2 linked regions of the Drosophila melanogaster genome follow. The protein of the gene in region 1 purifies or fractionates together with the protein of each later gene. This does not show direct contact. Each region holds a gene or a part of one and is shown on either strand. Other genes may lie near its edges. The genes, in order: wuho and mei-P26.

Region 1 (4,177 bases):
CCCAGTTTCATTGGCGTGATGGGTGGATGGTCGCCGGCATCCTTGCCCTTTCGCGGCGTCTGAATGTCGCCCAAAATGGAGCGCGCCTCCTCACCGAAGTCCGCCGATGGCTTCAGCACGTGCAGCACGGCCGGCAGATCGAAGTTAGTCGGATACTGATTGGTCTCTGTTCGCGGATAGCTGATGTAGCCCTGCGTGTACAGGCGCTCAGCTATCTGCATCGCCTGGAAGGGTCCGATGCCCAGTCCGGAGCTGCAGATACGCATCAGTTCGACGGTGTTCAGTGCCTGTGGTTTGCTCTTGTAGGCCTCCTTGCTGGCCACGCTCTCCACACTGAAAAAAGAAAAGAGAGGAAGTGGTCACTAGATGGAAAGGGAAAAGATAGTCAATTCTTGGTGAGCTTTCTTAAATTCTGGGGATCAGCAGCATTTTGTTTGTTTGCATTCGTTATGAACACAAACAGAAATTATGCTAATTCGGCATGATTGCTTCTCTGGCAGATACATAGATGATGTAGGCACCAGATTTGGAAGGAATGGCGTAATGGGTGGAAAAAAAAGAGTCAGCTGTCTTTCGAGTGACCAAAAAGTGGTTATAAGCAAACGGAAAAGTGACGAAAGCATGCTTATTTATAGACTAGCCGTAGTGACAGCAGCCATGATTAGGTCTTACGTGGCCTTCTTGTGCTCCTTGACGCGATTCAGCAGCATGATGGCGATGTCCTTCTTGAAGACCCGACCGCGCGCCCATTCAAGCGTGACTTCCGGCTGGCCGGCGAGGAGCTGCAGATGCCAGAAGCTCTCCGGCTTAAAGGTCTGGATGTCGTCGTGCCGCTTCACGCAGAAACCGAGCGTGGGCGTCTGGCAGGGACCGTAGGAGATCAGCGACGAATCCAGGTCACCGTAGCGATCCTGAAAGAACTTCGTTTGAAAGCGGGTAAAGGCGCAGCCAATGCGCAGGTCCAATTCCTGCCGGGCGTCCACCGACTTGGCCTCGTTCTCGTTGGGATGCCCCAACGTCTCCATGGCTTTCTTGATGTCCTTCTCCGTGATAGCCGAGAAGTGGGCACGGTATGTCACCTGATCGCTGTACACATTGTTGATGACATGCTTCACGGCGTCCATCACCTCGAAGCAGATGTTCTCGCCCTCCTTGTCGCAATCCAGCCAGAGCACCAGATAGTCACAGCCGCGCGCCTCGTGGGCCAGAAATTTGCGCATGTTCTGCTTGGGATTCGTTTCCTTCTTTTCGGTGGCACAACCGAAGAGCTGGATGGGATCCACCTTGTCCCAGCAGTTGTACTTCTTATTGAAGTCCAGCGACATGACATGACCGCACACGGAAGTCATCCGGAAGTGGACGCTGCCCTCGTTCCGAAAGTTGCCCGTCCACTCGTGCGTGGAGCAGCCGTTGCCGGTGCCTGGAGAGGATTACATACAATTTCGGTTGCTTGCTGAGTTTGGGAGTTCGTGTTGATCTACTGGCACTTACCACGCTTGGCCGTGCAGCGTCCGTTTGAGAGAATCCCCGCCAGCGAGGCCGCCAGCGAGGGCTTCTCGGCCACCATCAGCACGCTCTTCATGGCCCAAATCCAAGTCCCGCAATCCAATGGCCTATATAATTGATGATGAGATTTTTGCAGCGCTTCCTCCTGCCCACTCGTTCACTCGCATGGGATTCGCCGGTTTCGTGCTGCACACACACTCACACAAACGCACACGCACAGCATAAACGCACACGAACACGGGCTAATGGATGAATTGGACTTCCTCGCTATACATCCGTATAATCCCCTCTATTTAACAAATTTCACGGGCATTATTTTCCAGCCAATAATACGGTCTCACTGCCGTTGGCAGCAACAGGGTCACACTACATTCTAACGAATGCATCAATTGGTCATACCGCAGCGTGCAGCCCTGGTGAGCAGATCTTATCGCTCGTCGATACCAGTAGTCAGTAGTTGTGCAAACCTATCGGTGGCTATCGAATCGAGTCGCAAGAATGTGCACAACAATTTCGTTCGCGGAACCCGAAATCGTGCTCGGCCATGGCCGCAGGGTGCTCTTCGTGAACCCCGACGACCTGCAGATATTCAAGGAGATCGAGCTGCCGCCCGACCTTGGCCTGAAAGGCCATACATCCCAGTCGCAGGAATCGTGTACAGCCGCAGCAGCCGCATCCACAGCCACAGCCGCATCCGGTCAGGCACCGGGTGGCAAGGAGCAACAGCTTGCCAATCAGCCAGAGGAGGGCGGAACCTCTGCCAGCGCCTCCGGTTTGGGATGTGCCACCAGCACATCGGTACAGAATGTGGCCTACTCGCCAGACGGACAGCTGCTGGCCGTGACCACCAGTGGAAAACAGAAAGCTCTCCTGCTCTATCGTTCACGGCCGGAGAACGCCCGCCTGCTCTCCGCCCGCCCACTGGCCCGGGCGTCCAGTGCCCTGCGCTTCTGCAGCGACAGCAGCTCCATTCTGGTCACAGACAAGACTGGCGATTGCTATCAGTACGACTGCGTTGAGGTGGAGGCTCCGCCGCGCCTGCTGTTGGGCCATTTAAGTGTGGTATACGACATCCTGTGGTCGGAGGACCAGCAGCATATCATCACCTGCGATCGGGATGATAAGATACGCGTGACCAACTATCCCGCCACCTTTGACATCCACAGCTATTGCCTGGGCCACAGGGAGTTTGTCTCAGGCCTGGCACTGCTCACGGAGCAGCATATCGCCTCCGCTTCGGGGGACAAGACCTTGCGCGTATGGAACTACATTCAGGGCAAAGAGCTGCTGCAGCACGAGCTACCAGCACCGGCGGTTCGTTTATTGGTACGCCAGCTGGAGCCGGAGAAGGTCTTCCAGGCGGCGGTGCTCTTCTACGAGCACGTGGACGCCCTGGGATTGTATCGCCTGGAGCGCAGCTCCGATGACACCTGGAGCGTGACGGCCACACAACTGGTTTGCGCCGAAGCGGGCTCATGGAGCATTAGCAACTTTACTTTAACCAGCGACCGGATCTACATCACCGGCGCAGAGAACGAACGCTTAAGCTTGCGCGTCTACGACATCGCAACTGGCCAGCCGGCGAGCAGCGGCGTGCCCGAGGGCTGGCTGAAGATGGTGCTAGACGGATTGGGTGCCAACGAGGAGGGCGCACCGCCATTCATTCCCGAGGACTTGTCCGTTTGGTTTAAGAAGCGCTTCGACAACGTTAGCGACTATTTGGAGCGCAAGAAGCGGCGCATCGAGGAGCAGCAGCAGCAGAAGTGCGGCTAATCCCCGGGCGCCCACATACCCAAAGGAAATTAAATGAACCTAATCTTTACATAGCATTTAATTAGCATATGGAGAAGAAGCAACGGACTTTGTGTGACAGGCCCGTTGTGGGCATAATATATATATATCTGTATATGTGTGTAAATGGTGTATGGTTATCTCTATGGGGGGCGGTGGCGAGCACTGGCTCCTAGACGGGCTTGTAGTCCAGCTTGCTCTCCAACTTCTTGTTGTCCGACACCTTGCGCACCGCCTTCATGAAGTCCTCCTGGATGACGTACTCCCGCTCCGCACTGGATTTGCAAGAATAGTTACATTTTAGGGAGCTTATCAAGCGGTGGAAACTTCGCACTTACCGAATGGCAAAGAGACCCGCCTCCGTGCAGACATTACGCAGATCAGCGCCATTAAAGTTGTCCGACAGCTTGACAATGGCCTCGTAGTCGATTTCGCCGTGCTTGGCGATCTTCAGTGCGTGAATCTTGAGAATTTCCAACCTAAAAGGAGTTGGGGTTTTACCATCAGTATGACAAAGTATGTAAGTATCTAATCTGAGAAATCCCTATTCATATTTCACCAAGAAGACATCAAAGATAAGAGCCAATCAATGTGGGAATATAGCTTACCTAGCCTGCTCGTTGGGCAGCGGAATCTCGATCTTCCTGTCCAAGCGACCCGGACGCAGAAGGGCAGGATCGAGGGTGTCCGGACGATTGGTTGCCATGATCATCTTGACTTGGCCAAGCGAATCGAAGCCGTCCATCTGGTTGAGCAGCTCCATCAGGGTGCGCTGGATCTCGCGATCGGCAGAGGTGCCCTCGGAGAAGCGCCGACCACCGATAGCGTCGATTTCGTCCATGAAAATGATGCAGGGCTGATGGTCGCGGGCATAGTTGAA
Region 2 (5,232 bases), 2.9 Mb from region 1:
TGGACAGGCTCCTCCAAAGTAGTCATTGTCCTACAAACAAGTTAACTTTGATTGATCAGGAATACCAGTAAAGCCGAATATTATTCTTGAATAACTACTACTCACCTTTCTTTTGGCGCTGCTCTGATACAACAAGTTCTTGTCTTTTGTCGATTCAATGGATTCCTTTTGTTTTATTGTTTTTGGGCTGCTTTTCCCGTTCCCGTTCCTGTTTCCTGATTGCAATTCCGTATTTCCTGGCTCCTAAATTCTGGTCGCTGCTTGCTTTTCTAGTCCTTTGCGCTTGCTTGCATTTGCTGCTGATCCTATTCCTGATCCTATTCCTGATCCTAATCCTGCTGCTGCTGCTGCTGCTGCTGCTACTTCTGCTGCTCCCTAATGTCCCTCCGCTCTCCCACGAGGGCCATTCCAATTGAGGTCCCTTCTATTGCCGCAAGAAAAGGCCAACAATAGTTCGTTTCGTCGGGGTAAAAATGAGCGAAGGACCTATACAATCCACGCGCACGCACACACACACACACTGATGCGCAACAAACACCCCTTCTTCTCCTCCGCTTACTTAAAATGTATTGCAAATTTGTAAACAAATTTGCGAGCCTCCTTCGGCTTTCGGCTTATCTTAGTTTTTTGGTTTTTGTTTGGTGTTTTCGATTGTTGTTGCTGATTCGCTGCTTGTCTTACTTTTCTAGATATTTAGATATTGCCGAATATTTTTAAAGCATTTGGAAACTGTGTATTGCAGTGATCCTCCTCCTGTTTGATGTGGCTGTTCTTTTGCTTCTTCTTGTTGCACAAGGACGAAATAAAATTAAGGACGAACGAGGAGACGACAACAAACACTGACGAAGAACACGGCGATGCAAATTGGACGACAGCGCCGCTCCTTTTGGTATTTAAAAAAGAACAATGGATACAAAAATCACGTTAATCGGTGGCTAGAAATTTACAAAAATGTACAAATTAATAAATATAAAACTAAAACAGAAATATAAATTCTGTAACGCAGAACAAAATATATCAAATATAGATGAACCTTACTGACATATGGAGAAAGGGAATTTGGCATTAAATCAAATGAAACATTTCTTTTTTACCCTTTCCATACGCAGTGCAACCCCCTTTAAAACGCCTCTGGCTTTTGCAACAGCACACACACACTCACACACTCTGCTGCATACTTTCCGGATGTTAGCAAAGTATATTGGCCATTTTTCAGATAAATCTAATTTCAAAATTAACGTAACTCAGCAAGAATTGGAAATGCGATTCTTATTGATATACAATAGGTAATAATTTTCTTATTCATTTTGAAGTCCTAAGTCAGTTAAGTAAAAAAAATAATAAAAATATGATTAGGTTTGAAAACTTTTTATTGATTACCAAAATTGTGTTATTTAGTGAAATATCTATATCTATCTATATCTATATCTATAATTTTATGTCATCATCTGACAAGAATTGTTGCCTTCTTCCAATTCGACTGCGACGGGACCTTAGGCGTAGTCCAATTCAAAACGCTTGGCATTTGTATAACGCTTTCCCATGAAATCGAATTTGAATTAATATAGCCGGCAAGAGCTACCAGGATGGAATGGAATAATGCCGTTTTGAGAGTTTAATGGGAAAGGATAAGAACTAGCAACATAGATTTCGTGCATTGAATGTTTATCCGATCGTAGGTTATCCAATTAATGTCTATGTTAGGCCACTAATGGAGAGAGTGGGGAAGGGGGTGGTAGTATCGGTTCCCTTTTGCGTTAAGTTTACGTTACGTTTTTCTCCGTTATGTGTAGCTATGCGCCACACACACACACACACACACACACATCAAGCTCTTCTTTACTCCTGCTTCCTGCTTTTGCTACCCGTTCACGCAGGCGCGTTCATAGTGATGACCTTTCTAGCCATTTATCCGCTAGCTGCGCAAAAAAATAGCTGCCCTAACAAGGACAAGCTGGGGCACAAAGTCCTTGAACAACTAATTCAATTGGGGCAAGGCAATTGCCTAAATAAATACGTTTAAATCAGCGGAAGTGAGCGGTAGTTTAAAATCTACTTTAGTTTTGTGCCCCCTCCAAACACTCGCAACCAAACACCCACATGCCGAATCAGCTGCATACACACAGACACAAGCGCCTACAAGCGAACACACGTGGTAAACGGAATTTAGTACCGCTGCTTTGCCCCTTTTTTTCACTGTTCTGTTTTATTTTGCTTTGCTTTATCGGACCTGGATGATTTTGTTGGTCCCCCTATCGACTTTGTCAATTCTGCGCCGCAGCTGATATTTTCTTGTCCATTTCCACGTACTTTTTGATTTATTTCACTTTTAAATGTGTGCCGCTCTCTCTCTTGCTACTCGCAAACGGTTATTTTCGAGTGCAGCGCTGGCTGGGCTGCGAAAGAGATAGAAGAGGAGCGATAAGCGATTGAGAGAGAGAGAGAGCGAAAAATCGGTTATGCGAAGAAAAGTTCTCAATTTCGTTCGTATTGGTGTGCGCAAGCTCACTCAACGCGGCAAAAAATGAAATACGAATACGAAAAACGGCACCCACACATACAGAATACAAAAAAAAACACACACACACACCATGTGAAATTAAAACTGAATTCCCTTTTTCGATTTCGGAATAAACACTATTCTTGACCGACCGGACGAACTGTCGTCGATTTAAAAGTTTTAGTTGGGGGGCGCGGGTGGTGGCTAAGACAACTCTCGACGGGGTCGCGGGGTGACAATCGACAAGGGGGGGCACTGCCGTTGTCCTTGAACGCAAAATTTCCACTTGACTACCGCCCAGGTGGTCGTGGTCAAAAGGCACTCAACACACACGCCTGCACATGCATACACACACACTCTCACAAACCGAACAGCAGACAGGAGGCGAAAAAGGTCCTTGAAATGCCTGAACACTTCACTGTCTGTCCGGCGTTGTCAGCTTTTACTGTCCAATTTAAACTGCTAACTGCTTTTTCGCAACTGTCACCACCTTATATTTAAATGTAGTTTTCGTTTTCACACGTTTTTTTGTTGGTTCTTTTTGTTTTTTGCTGCTCTCTTTTGCTTGTTACGTTACGATTTTATATTTGCCCGTCCCACACAAACGCCTACACGCAGGAACACAAGAGAACACTACACACCACAGGCAGTTATATCTACAGTTACCGTTATTCACTGATTCAGCGAATTTAGCACGTTCTGGGACATTAAAAACAACCAGAAGACCGCCAATTTGATTGGAGTCGATAATTATTGGATTAAACAAATAATTACTTTACTGCTCCCGTCGAACTTTTGTATGCAGTGCAGCTAGGGATGATAGATATATATTTCAGCACAGCCACGTATCGATAGTTTTTGAAAAGCGATGCCCTGATATCGATAGTTATATTGAATAAACGCGTATCGGTCGCCAAATATTTATTTTAAGTTTTCATTCCGCAAAGCTTACATCTTTAATAAGTATAATATAATTATATATATATATATTTAAATAATAACACAAAATACGCTTTATTATTACATGTTACATTACATTTAAATGTCAGTTTGACTCATTTCCGCATGCATATTTTGCATATCAGTTAAATAGGGTAAAATGATGGGATTAATCCCATTCCTTGTCACGCATTCCAACTCGTTTATAATATTATCCAATCTGTCCATCAATATCCGATGCTCTCTAAGCATAGAATTGAATTGATCTTCAGAATTCTGCTGCGATGCGGGCACGTGTTTAGTATCCAATTCCGATGCGTGCACGTTTTCAGTATCATTTTCCGATGCGTGCAGTTTTCGATTGAATTCTGATGTATATTCAACTACCAAAGTCTTTATTTTGACAAAGAAGTTGTTTTTAAAGTATGTATGTTCCATTTGCGTCTTTTCGTTGCGAGTTTTAATAGTATTTTCCCCTTTGGAAAATGCATCCCACAAGCTTTGCAATTTGGATAGTCGCCCTTCAAAATATCCAGGTTTAGATTTCCGTTGAGCCGGAGCCTTTTTATAATTGCGAATAATGCTTTGAATCTTCTCGCCCAAATTCATTTGCTCGGCCAACAGCGCACTAATGCTCGACGATCCGGCCATCTTAATTGAAAGTCTCTTAAAATGGTAACAGGAATATCAACAATTCAATGATACTCTAAGCTTGGCTCTTTTTGTACTGCCTTGAATTGTCGCTCTACAAAAGGACTCCAGTTATTTCTGAAAGCGCAGGTAATTTTAGGAAGAACGTGTGTCAGGTAGGTGGTATTCCCAGATTAATATGCAGATGGCCAATCAGTTTTTGTTTTATGGCCTTACCGTGTACCGCTACAGGTAAGCTCTTAAATTTATTTGTGCACCTTTTTATTTCGGGGAATTTTCTATCGAACACGAGTAAATTCTCGAGCGTTTAAGATCAACGCGCCGAGCACACTTCTGGGTATTTAAGGAGTTTTAAGCATATGCAAGCCGGTCACACGACGACTATCGACACTTATCGTCAGCGTCTATCGATTAAACTTGCACGTTTCGCCCCAAACATATACATTTCATTTAAAAAAGCACACTTAAACAGGAACTTTCGTGTGGATAGCAATCAAATCATGTCCACCGTGAGCGACCCCAACAGTAGCAATCCGCCGGAGAGTGCGGGGAACATTCGGCCGGAGCCCATTTTCCGGGAAATCAATGCGGAGCAGACCGACGAGATAGTGGAGGTCGAATCCGCCTGCATGAACTGCTTCGAAACGGGAGTCACTCGGCTGCTGCCCACCAAGATACCCTTTTTTCGCGAGGTGGTGCTCATGTCCTTCAAGTGCGACCACTGCGGCCACATCAACAACGAGATGCAGTCGGCATCGGAGATCCAAAAGTCCGGCATTCGCATCGAACTGCGAGTGCAATCCGTGGCTGATCTCAATCGGCGCGTGGTGCGCTCGGATAACTCCAGCATCAGCATACCGGAGATCGAGCTAGAGATTCCGGTGCAGTCGCAGAAGGGCGAGGTGACCACCGTCGAAGGCATCATCGAGCGGACGATAGCCGGCTTGTCGCAGGATCAGGAGAAGCGGCGCATCGATCATCCGGAGACAGCTGCTTCAATTGAAAAGTACATCGAGCGATTGCACCGCCTAAAGGAGGTGACAACACCCTTTCAAGTGCTTCTCGAGGACATATCCGGCAATAGTTTCATCGAGAATCCCCTGGCACCTGCCGCCGATCCGCAGCTAAAGACTTCGTACTTC

Evidence for each region.
Region 2: the proteins of wuho (region 1) and mei-P26 purify together in Drosophila melanogaster (affinity purification with western blotting, with the first as the bait; one study listed by BioGRID). This does not show direct contact.

Annotation. Positions count from the first base shown.
Region 1 is NC_004354.4:6,286,150-6,290,326, forward strand, and holds wuho (wuho), read left to right. Parts: upstream 1-1,950; 5' UTR 1,951-2,004; coding exon 2,005-3,279; 3' UTR 3,280-3,413; downstream 3,414-4,177. Other genes in the region: Top3beta (topoisomerase 3beta), read right to left, coding at 1-333, 673-1,420, 1,492-1,582; Rpt4 (regulatory particle triple-A ATPase 4), read right to left, coding at 3,470-3,572, 3,636-3,776, 3,906-4,177. UniProt on the Drosophila melanogaster protein: Required for the Mettl1-dependent formation of N(7)-methylguanine at position 46 (m7G46) in tRNA. In the Mettl1-wuho methyltransferase complex, it is required to stabilize and induce conformational changes of the catalytic subunit.
Region 2 is NC_004354.4:9,161,333-9,166,564, reverse strand, and holds the start of mei-P26 (meiotic P26), read right to left. Parts: upstream 3,311-5,232; 5' UTR 3,167-3,310; intron 2,403-3,166; exon of another isoform or gene 2,231-2,402; intron 884-2,230; 5' UTR 106-883; intron 46-105; exon of another isoform or gene 31-45; 5' UTR 27-30; coding exon 1-26. Other genes in the region: CG44532 (uncharacterized protein), read right to left, coding at 3,539-4,090; Zpr1, read left to right, coding at 4,591-5,232.